Linked DNA regions of Caenorhabditis elegans. The protein of the gene in region 1 purifies or fractionates together with the protein of each later gene. This does not show direct contact. Each region holds a gene or a part of one and is shown on either strand. Other genes may lie near its edges. The genes, in order: myo-3 and mlc-3.

What was found.
Region 2: the proteins of myo-3 (region 1) and mlc-3 purify together in Caenorhabditis elegans (affinity purification with mass spectrometry; 2 studies listed by BioGRID, with this or other methods). This does not show direct contact.

Annotation. Positions count from the first base shown.
Region 1 is NC_003283.11:12,231,277-12,236,361, reverse strand, and holds the start of myo-3 (Myosin-3), read left to right. Parts: upstream 1-2,018; 5' UTR 2,019-2,061; coding exon 2,062-2,197; intron 2,198-2,581; exon of another isoform or gene 2,582-2,717; intron 2,718-2,772; exon of another isoform or gene 2,773-2,965; intron 2,966-3,266; coding exon 3,267-3,478; intron 3,479-3,547; coding exon 3,548-3,704; intron 3,705-3,751; coding exon 3,752-4,051; intron 4,052-4,149; coding exon 4,150-4,678; intron 4,679-4,742; coding exon 4,743-5,085. UniProt on the Caenorhabditis elegans protein: Essential for muscle contraction. Involved in ovulation likely by regulating the contraction of gonadal myoepithelial sheath cells.
Region 2 is NC_003281.10:5,563,169-5,567,754, forward strand, and holds mlc-3 (Myosin, essential light chain), read left to right. Parts: upstream 1-1,856; 5' UTR 1,857-1,963; coding exon 1,964-1,982; intron 1,983-2,152; coding exon 2,153-2,364; coding exon of another isoform or gene 2,365-2,406; exon of another isoform or gene 2,407-2,648; intron 2,649-3,505; coding exon 3,506-3,689; intron 3,690-3,743; coding exon 3,744-3,790; 3' UTR 3,791-3,839; downstream 3,840-4,586. Other genes in the region: rpc-2 (DNA-directed RNA polymerase subunit beta), read left to right, coding at 1,338-1,511.

The DNA.
Region 1 (5,085 bases):
CACAGATTAATTCAAAAGGGTCTGGCCGCAAAAAGGTTTATGGTGGCCGATTTTGAGTTTTGTGTGTGATTGCTTTTTCACAATCAGTGTTTTCAGGATTATGTGATGAACTAGATCTTCAAGTTTCGTTACATTTCATATGTTTTCGGAACTCACGAAGTACATATTGGGTATTGTGCTCAAAAAATTCAGCAATCAGCTTCGCTCCGCTGACTTTAGAACCCAAAAAAATAGTATGGCCAAACTGACTGTGTTACGATCATTTCAATTTTTCAATACATATTTAAGATTTCTAAGAGTAAGAAGGTCAAAAACTGTTCTGGAATACATATATATTTTTCAGGTTACAATTAGTCAAAAAGTGCACTGAAATATACGTTTTAATTTCACGAATAACCCAATTAGTTCAATGTATTTTTGGTCAACCAACGTTAAAGTTTGGCTTCCAACCAATTATCATTTCTGATCAACCACAATGTTTTTTCTTTATCTGCAAGTTAATTTTTTATTTTTATCCAGATGTTTGGCATATTTTTCAATTCTTCACTAGCGCCCACTTCTTGCACTTCCGGCGCCCTGAATCTAATGCATCTGTTGCAAGAATTGAAAGACCAATCAACACATTGTTTTCTTCACGAGATACTGAAGAAAATGAATAAAAACAGAGAAAAAGAGCCATGTGATTAGTGACAACTGTTGCTAACAGATACCATAGCTTGGACTTGGTACGTGATGGCAACGTATGGGTCAACAAAAATGATTGCAGAGGGGGTGCAAAACAGTCAAGTCGAGAAAATATGAAAAACAGAAAACAAAGAACAGAAAAATGGGTTTGAGAGTCAGTATAATTTATAAAAGAAAAATTGTACATAGAAATTAACCATTTTTGTAGAAGAAGTTATTTTTCAAGCATCGTTAAAAATTATTCAAAGCACCTTATTTCATATTTAATTTTAAACATGGTTAAATGAACAACACGGTGCGCAATCAGGAAAACTTGAAATCTGAAACTGTTGTTGTGATCTTCTTCGCAACTGTTCAGATAGCACTAGTGTAATGTTAAGAGTGCGCGAATATAATGGAATATAATGGATCACACCTCCTGCCATCAGGTAAACGTCTCTGTTATCACATATTTCCAACTATTAAATTTTTACCTTTTACAGTTTTACATTTTTTTGAAAAAAGTAACTTTTTGTCTTCAAAATCCCTGACGAAAATATCAAATATTTTAATCGAGACTGCAGAGGAACCGATTGATGATTTGGAAAATCCAGCTTTACCTGTGTAAGAACTGAAAAGTTTCATAACCCTAGGGTATTCCCAGTTACATTCCCCACTGGCTAACAATAGCACCCAGTTTTTCATCACCTTTCTTCAAATTTCTCGGCGATTTGTTAAAAACAAAATTTGTGTCCCTTCTCTGATATCTCTATGTCTCTAAACACAAGTTCATCGGAAAACGAAGGAGGGTAGGTGTTGGTTGGGCTCCCGAAGTGAAAATAGAAGAGCAAGAATAGAATATTAGAGAGAGAGTGCAGAGAGGGCGGGATAGCTCCCGGGATTCCGTTTTCTTCTTCTTTATCTTCAACGATGATGTGTGTGCGTGTTGTATAGATTCTGTTGCTCCCCCACAACTCGCTCCGAAGGCTCAATACAATTCAATTGATATTGGAGGAGAGCCTACCGGAGTGGGAGGATAAGAAGAAACATAAGAAGAAGAAGAAGAAGAAGCATGCTTCTGGTTTTTGATGCTATGAAAACGGCACAAAAAGATGATTGAGGTCCCTTTTCAATACCTTCTCTCATCTTTCAAATCCCATTGAAACCTAAAACTTCTCACCACGCTTTACCATTGTTCTCCAAAAACTTATAGCAATGTCTATAACTTTTTTATCTCTGAAAAGCAGTGTTCCATTTTTCTTTTTCCTATTTTATTTCAATTGTTTCTCACATTTCGTTTGGATTCTTTGCTTGTCAACCAGCTTCTTCTTCCACTTTTACCGTCTAATTTTCAGGGCAGGGAGCCATCAAACCCACGACCACTAGATCCATCTAGAAATGTCTGGAAATCCAGACGCATTCGAAAATGATCCAGGATTCCCATTCTTGGGAATCTCGAGAGAGGCCAGAGCTGCCACTGCTGCTCGTCCTTTTGATTCCAAGAAGAACTGCTGGATTCCGGATCCAGAAGATGGTAAGTCTTGATTTCGAATTGAAAATTTTAAAGAAAAATTTTGAACCACGTGCTGTAATATTTGGCAAGAATATTTTCCCATAATTTTAATAGTAACTGTGATATGTTCTAATTTTAGAAATCAGTTGTCAACGCTAAAAATGTAAGGGTTACAATAGTGGTATTGCAAAGAGTTATGATGGTTAAGTTTGTAAATACTTTTTTTCTGTTAATGAAACTAATTTGGATACAAATTTTTCATTTGATCTAAACAGAACATCTTAATCAAAAAACACTTTAAAACTCTTGCTTTGATATTGTTTGTTCAATTTCCTAATTCTTACCAAACCAATTCAAGCTAACTTTCATTATGTCCATTCCATTAACAAAAACTATTATTACACCTTCTCTCTCATCGCCAGTGTCCACATTCATCCTACTCTCCTACGCTTTCATCTGTGTCTCTCAGATCTGCATTTTATCTATGATACATCACACTTTCCACCGACCCCGCCGGGCAACCAGTGGTGGCGGATTTTTGAACATCTGAGGTTCTCTCATCTCTCGGTCATCTGATGAAGCACATACACACATACACACAACGGCACTTTGTAATCTTTCCGGAGAAGCGGGCAGGCACACACGTACGCTATGAAGCCGGAGCAAGAGCTTCTCCTGCCGTTTGAACTGCGGCTTCTGCTGTTGGCAGGAAAGATGATGAGATTTCTTGGAATTTAAGATTGAGATATTTGACGTCCCACATTTTATGGATGGACAACAATATGTACATGTTTTGAAGATTTAATATTGAAATGTGGATATGAAATCGGAATTTAAAAAGTCAAGGTCAATAAAATGGTAATTCTGACCAGATCTATTATTCGAGGATGACAAATAAAACTAGGATTAAATCAAAAATACTAAATTTGAAAATGAAAAAGAAAAGATTGTTCTATAACTTATAAATCTCACAATAATGATTTTTGTACAGAAACAAAAACTAAATGACATAATCGAATAAAACATTCTGATTTTAATCAGCCGCATGCGACAAAACATATATTTCTTGGAGGCTAATATTAAATTTCAGGATTCGTCGCCGCCGAGATCCAATCCACCACCGGCGAACAGGTGACCGTGGTAACTGTGAAGGGAAACCAGATTACCGTCAAAAAAGATCAATGCCAAGAGATGAACCCGCCAAAATTCGACAAGACCGAGGATATGGCTAACTTGACCTTTTTGAATGAGGCCTCTGTTTTGGGAAATCTCAAGGATCGTTACAAGGATTTGATGATTTACGTAAGGAAATTGAAACTATTCAAAAAAAAAATTAATACTATTCAAAAATTGAACCGACTTAATTTTCAGACATACTCCGGACTTTTCTGTGTTGTAATCAATCCATACAAACGTCTTCCAATCTACAGTGAATCTGTAATCAAGCACTTCATGGGAAAGAGACGTAATGAGATGCCACCTCATTTGTTCGCTGTCTCTGATGAAGCTTACCGTAACATGGTTCAAGGTATGTGAAAATTTAATTGTTTTAGAACTTTATTTTTCAAATTTCAGACAAGGAGAACCAGTCTATGCTCATCACCGGAGAATCTGGAGCTGGAAAGACTGAGAACACCAAGAAGGTTATCTCCTACTTCGCTATTGTTGGAGCCACGCAAGCTGCTTCCGGCAAAGAAGCCAAGGATGGAAAGAAGGGAGGTACTCTTGAAGAGCAAATTGTGCAAACGAACCCTGTGTTGGAGGCTTTCGGTAATGCTAAAACTGTCAGAAACAACAACTCTTCCCGTTTCGGAAAGTTCATCAGAACTCATTTCTCTGGATCTGGAAAGTTGGCTGGAGGAGATATTGAACACTGTGAGTGATCTTTTATGATTAGTTTTTAAGAAAAAATGAGATTGGAGGAATTTAAATTGAAACTAGTGAAACCATTCAAAAAAGAAAAATATTTTCAGATCTTCTCGAAAAATCTCGTGTCGTCCGTCAGGCACCAGGAGAGCGTTGTTATCACATCTTCTACCAGATTATGTCTGGAAACGATCCAAGTCTCCGTGGAAAGCTTAAGCTTAGCAACGACATCACTTACTATCACTTCTGCTCGCAGGCCGAGCTTACCATCGAAGGAATGGATGATAAGGAGGAGATGAGACTTACTCAGGAAGCTTTCGATATCATGGGATTCGAAGACAACGAGACTATGGATCTTTACCGTTCCACTGCTGGAATTATGCACATGGGAGAAATGAAATTCAAGCAGCGTCCACGTGAAGAGCAAGCCGAGCCAGACGGTGAGGAAGATGCTCTCAACGCTGCTGCCATGCTCGGAATCCAAGCTGAGGAGTTCCTCAAGGCTTTGACCAAGCCACGTGTCCGTGTCGGAACCGAATGGGTCAATAAGGGACAGAACTTGGAACAGGTCAACTGGGCCGTTTCTGGACTTGCCAAGGCTATCTATGCCCGTATGTTCAAGTGGATCATCACCAGGTAAATAACAAAGAGCAAATATTTTTAATTAGGGTAAATATTATTCTACTTATTTTACTTTTAGATGTAACAAGACCCTTGACGCAAAGGAGATTGAGCGTAAGCATTTCATCGGAGTGCTTGATATCGCTGGATTCGAAATCTTCGACTTGAACTCTTTTGAACAGCTCTGGATCAACTTTGTCAACGAACGTCTTCAACAATTCTTCAACCATCACATGTTCGTTCTTGAACAAGAAGAATACAAGCGTGAAGGAATTGCCTGGACCTTCATCGATTTCGGACTTGATCTTCAAGCCTGTATTGAGCTTATTGAGAAACCACTCGGTATCATCTCTATTCTTGATGAGGAGTGTATCGTTCCAAAGGCCACTGATATGACCTATGCTCAGAAGCTTCTTGATCAA
Region 2 (4,586 bases), on another chromosome or scaffold:
GATCATGAGAGAATACATTTCCCGACTTTTATCTGAAAATATCGAAAAAAAAGGTCGGAAACCGATTATTAATTTTTTTTTGAACTCCCACTTTTTTATAAGAACAGAGAAATCGATTTTAAAAAAAGCATTTTCCCTAAAAACTTTTTAAAAAAAGCAAAACTTTCTATTTTAATGGCTCTGAATCTCTGTTGCTCGGAAGTTAAAAAAAATCAAATTTTCGGTGCTATTCGAGCAAGATCCATTCCCAAATAAAAAAAATCTCTCACAATTCAGCGATATTTCGGAGTTTTTGAGAACATTTTTTACTAAAACCGCCTTTTCTTAGTACAGTCGTACCGAAAATAATATTTTCTGCACCTGTCCCAGGTGGCAAACAAGAATCAGAGATCTAAAGACTTGGAAGTGAACCTCACATTAAGATCCCTCCAGGAAACCTTCGGAGCTCTCGTCTTGATTCGCTTCTTCCTTCCTACTTTTCGTTTTTTTTTGCCCACAAAATAGTCATCGAAGAAGAAGAAGAAAAGATGAGATTTTTGCCCCGATGCGAGATGCCTGGTGAATAGTGTGATCTTCGTGGAGAGATGTCTCGCTGATCTCTCCTTGATTGCCATTTCACTATATCTTCCACCCCGAAGTCTGTGGACTCCACTGATCTCCGCATCTCTCGTCATTGAGTAAAAGCATTGGCAGAAGAGAGAACAGAAGAAGGAGGAATAAGAAGGAAGAGATATCTCCACAGTGGGTGCCTGTGCTTTTTCTTCCCGTCGGCTGTGCTCCTAGGAGTGGAATGCCGAGAAAATGTGCGATTGAAGTGGCACGCGGGGAGGATAGAGAAAGAAAATAAAGATATTGAAAGGGAGAATAGAGAAACATACGTTTACAACGAATTAATCGAGTTCGGCAGCCAACACGGGAAAAATGAACTTGTGAAGATGTGTTAAAACACAAAGATCTTATTAATTATTGAAGAGGGAGGAAATAAAATAAATTAACATTTCGAGCATTGGGGTACTGTAGACCTATTCCGTAAACAGAGAAACAAAATGGTTTAGCAGAATTCGCGGACTGAGGCGAGAGGCAGGCGGAGGTTGCCTTAAGGTCAGGCAGGCAAGCGTTTTAATGCAAAAGTAATGGATACTTGTTGAGCCTTATAATAATGTGTCGATATTAAAAAACACAAGTATGGATTTTTAACATAAAAAAGTTAAAAGACGCATGCTTAAATATTTTATAGGATAATTTGGTACTCCTTAAAACTCAGTTTGTATAAAAAAACGATTCGATGAGAGTATAATAGATTTCCAATGTAACTTAATAAATTTCTTGTTTTCCAGGTCGACGTGTGCACTGGATGCGGAGTAATCGGCTCGAAGGGTTGGTGCCAAAAGTGTCGTTCGAGCAAGTCAATGGCGAACATTAAGATTCCGTATGCGTGTAAGCTGCTCTTCCAGGAACTTCAATCCATGAACATTGTCCCGAGGCTGGACTTGGCCAGATACACCGAATAACCTTGTTTTGTAATTGTTGTTGTTGTTGTTATGCTTCTTCTTTCCCCTTCCCAAATCATTTTTTAATCTATTTTTTACTTGTTCCCCGAAATTTGAACATTTTTTGTTGTTTTTTTTGTCATACATTCATTCTTAAACTTATCATGAAAATTTTCTAGAAAATACTTGTTGAAACAGTACGCCGCGCTTTCTCGCTCTCACATCCCACATCTCGCCACTCTATCTCTTGAGCATTACATCCCTCTCTCTATCTCTCGGGCTCCCGAGGGGTGAAATAGTGTACTCGCGCGGGAGTGCGGGAGCTCAATATCCGCCCCAATCCGCCCCCATCCTCTACGAAGAGTCACACACAGTTTACACTTGGGTTGCCACTGCTCTGTCGCCTTCACTCAGTTTCCACACTCAGTCCCCCCTGCTCTGCCGCCGCTGCAACACTCACACATCATCACATAATGGCTCCACCATCCCAAGGTGAGTAATTTTTTAAGCAATGTCCCCAGCTCTTAGGGATACCTTATAAGGTTTTAGGACTTCTAAAACATTTTATTTTTAGTTTTTTTTTAATGTTTCAAAAATATATCCAATTCCCCAAATATATCCCTACAATCCCAAACATTTTTTCAAACTTGAAATCGTTCTAGACGTGCTCAAGGAGATCTTCAACCTCTACGATGAGGAGCTTGACGGCAAGATCGACGGAACCCAAGTCGGAGATGTCGCCCGCGCCGCCGGACTTAAGCCAACTCAGGCTATGGTGACAAAGGCCGCCGGACAGGAGTTCAAGCGTAAGGGAGAGAAGAGACTTACATTCGAGGAGTGGCTCCCGATGTACGAGCAACTCGCCAAGGAGAAGGTACGGTATTTTAAACATCTTGCCTGTGCCTTTAACCTTTAGCTGAGAGTTTTTTGAGATTTAGGGATCTAGGGGCCTCGCGCCAAACCTTTAACTCCCGCACCGAGTGATAATCAAACAAAGAAGATGAAGCTTGAGATTTGTTTTATTTCAAGGTCTAAGTAAATATTGGATCTCAGAGGTTAACCCCATACAGTACCCCTAGCCGAAAACTTTTAAATCACAACTAAGGGTCTGAAAAATCTGAACATCCTCTTCCACCGGCACATGCCAGCCGATCCCTAGAACTTTAGAGAGATAGGCGGCGGCGGCTCCCGTGAAGCATGTGTGGGAGAGGAGCACATAGGACTCTCGAGAATCTCTCTTGGCACACACAAACACACACATAGGCACAGTGTAACAATAGAGAGCATCATCATTCTGCGTCTACTGGGTCCTTGTTGTAGATATTTGTATGGATAGGAAGTAGTAAGGAATAGGCAAGGGATCTTGAGTAAGGATCCCCATATACGGGTAAAAGAATGGAGTGAGTATATATGAAGCTTCTAGGAGCTATTGAGTTTTGGAAAGAGCTGCCAGCTCAGACTATTTAGTGGAGGTTTAAGGTAAAAAATCCTGTAGATCTTTGATTGAATTCAACTAGGGCATTCTCTGGACCCACAACCGTCAGTATTTTGAAAGCTTTAAGGCAACCAGTTTCTTAGAAAAGATTCAAAACAGCACATGGAGATCTTGAAGAGCCAATAGAAACCTACGAACTGAGCTCAGAAGACTGGACAACTCATAAAGTTTGAAATAGCAAGTTTGGCCAGATATTTTGGGAAACACATTTCGCTTTCGTTATTAAATAGTCTGCGAAGTTTACCTGAGCACATATCTACTCAAATTTGACAATCTGAAAGTCAGTGTCTAACGAATTTTGGATAGAATCCTAAGCGAAAATCAGAGAGTTCTCTGGAGCTTCGGGATGGAATTAGCTGATGTTCGAGGTTACTGTCACCTGAATAGGGAATGATTTATGTTTACTGGAGTTAGATGCCTACCTTAGGGTCCGCATGTAGAGCAGATCATCATTCATTTAACATTGAGATTATAAACTGAGAAAATTGTTCTTTCCAATATAAATTTCCAATTTCTTCAGGAGCAAGGAACCTACGCTGACTTCTACGAGGGACTCAAGGTGTTCGACAAGGAGGAGACTGGAAAGATCTTGGCCGCTGAGCTCAGACACATCCTCTTGGCTCTCGGTGAGAGACTTTCCGCCGATGAGGCCGATGAGCTCCTCAAGGGAGTCGAAGACGGAGAAGGCATGGTCAAGTACGAGGGTAAGCCGATTTTTTTTCTTCTCGGAAATTTTTTTTAATTGAAATTTATTTCAGATTTCATCAAGAAGGTTTTGGCCGGACCATTCCCAGACCAGGACTAAATTTTTGGATCTGAATCTGTGCTACACCCATTATAATGTTTAAATTTTGAAAAAAAAAACACCATCTTCTCTTACCCAAATTTTTTGCTCCCCTTTCCCTTCTCTGCCTTCTTTCTCCCCGTTCCAAATAACGATGTTTTACTTTTTTGTCTATAAACCCATCGTCTAGTCGCTCGTTTTCTTCTACGCTATACACGTAAGAGATTCCACTCGCGTGCGCGCATTCCGTTTTCTGATCCAGAAAACGTTTTGCACTTTAAAAATCAGCGCGCGGTTTTCTCTTCTTTTTCTCCAACACATTCAAGCCTGTTTCTATGATCAAGAAATTTTCTTTCTTTCTTCATTTTACACTTTTTTATTCAGAAATTCATTCGTTTCTTATATTCGTTCTCCTTTTTGGATTATAATAAAAAACCTTTTGAATAATTATGAAATGGAAATTTTGGTATAGTACATGTAGTAAGTTGAAAGGCTGCTAGAAATATCAGCTTTTGAGTCGATGACCTGATAAAAACAAACTGCCAGTTTGATTTTTATCAATTGATTTATTTTCCGTCTACTGTGCAAGAACGGTAGCTTCCAAAAAATAAGAAATTGCCAAATTATTTAAACAATTTTTCGTATATATTGTTAGCTGACAACTATTTTTTATTGTATCACCACCTAAATATAGTTTTTCAAAAAATATCACTCAATCCTAAAAATTGGTGAAAAGAAACAATTTCACCTTAAAAGCTTTCAAATTGAAGTTAGAGTAGCGAAACTGTCCACTTAAATATACTAAAGACCCAAAATA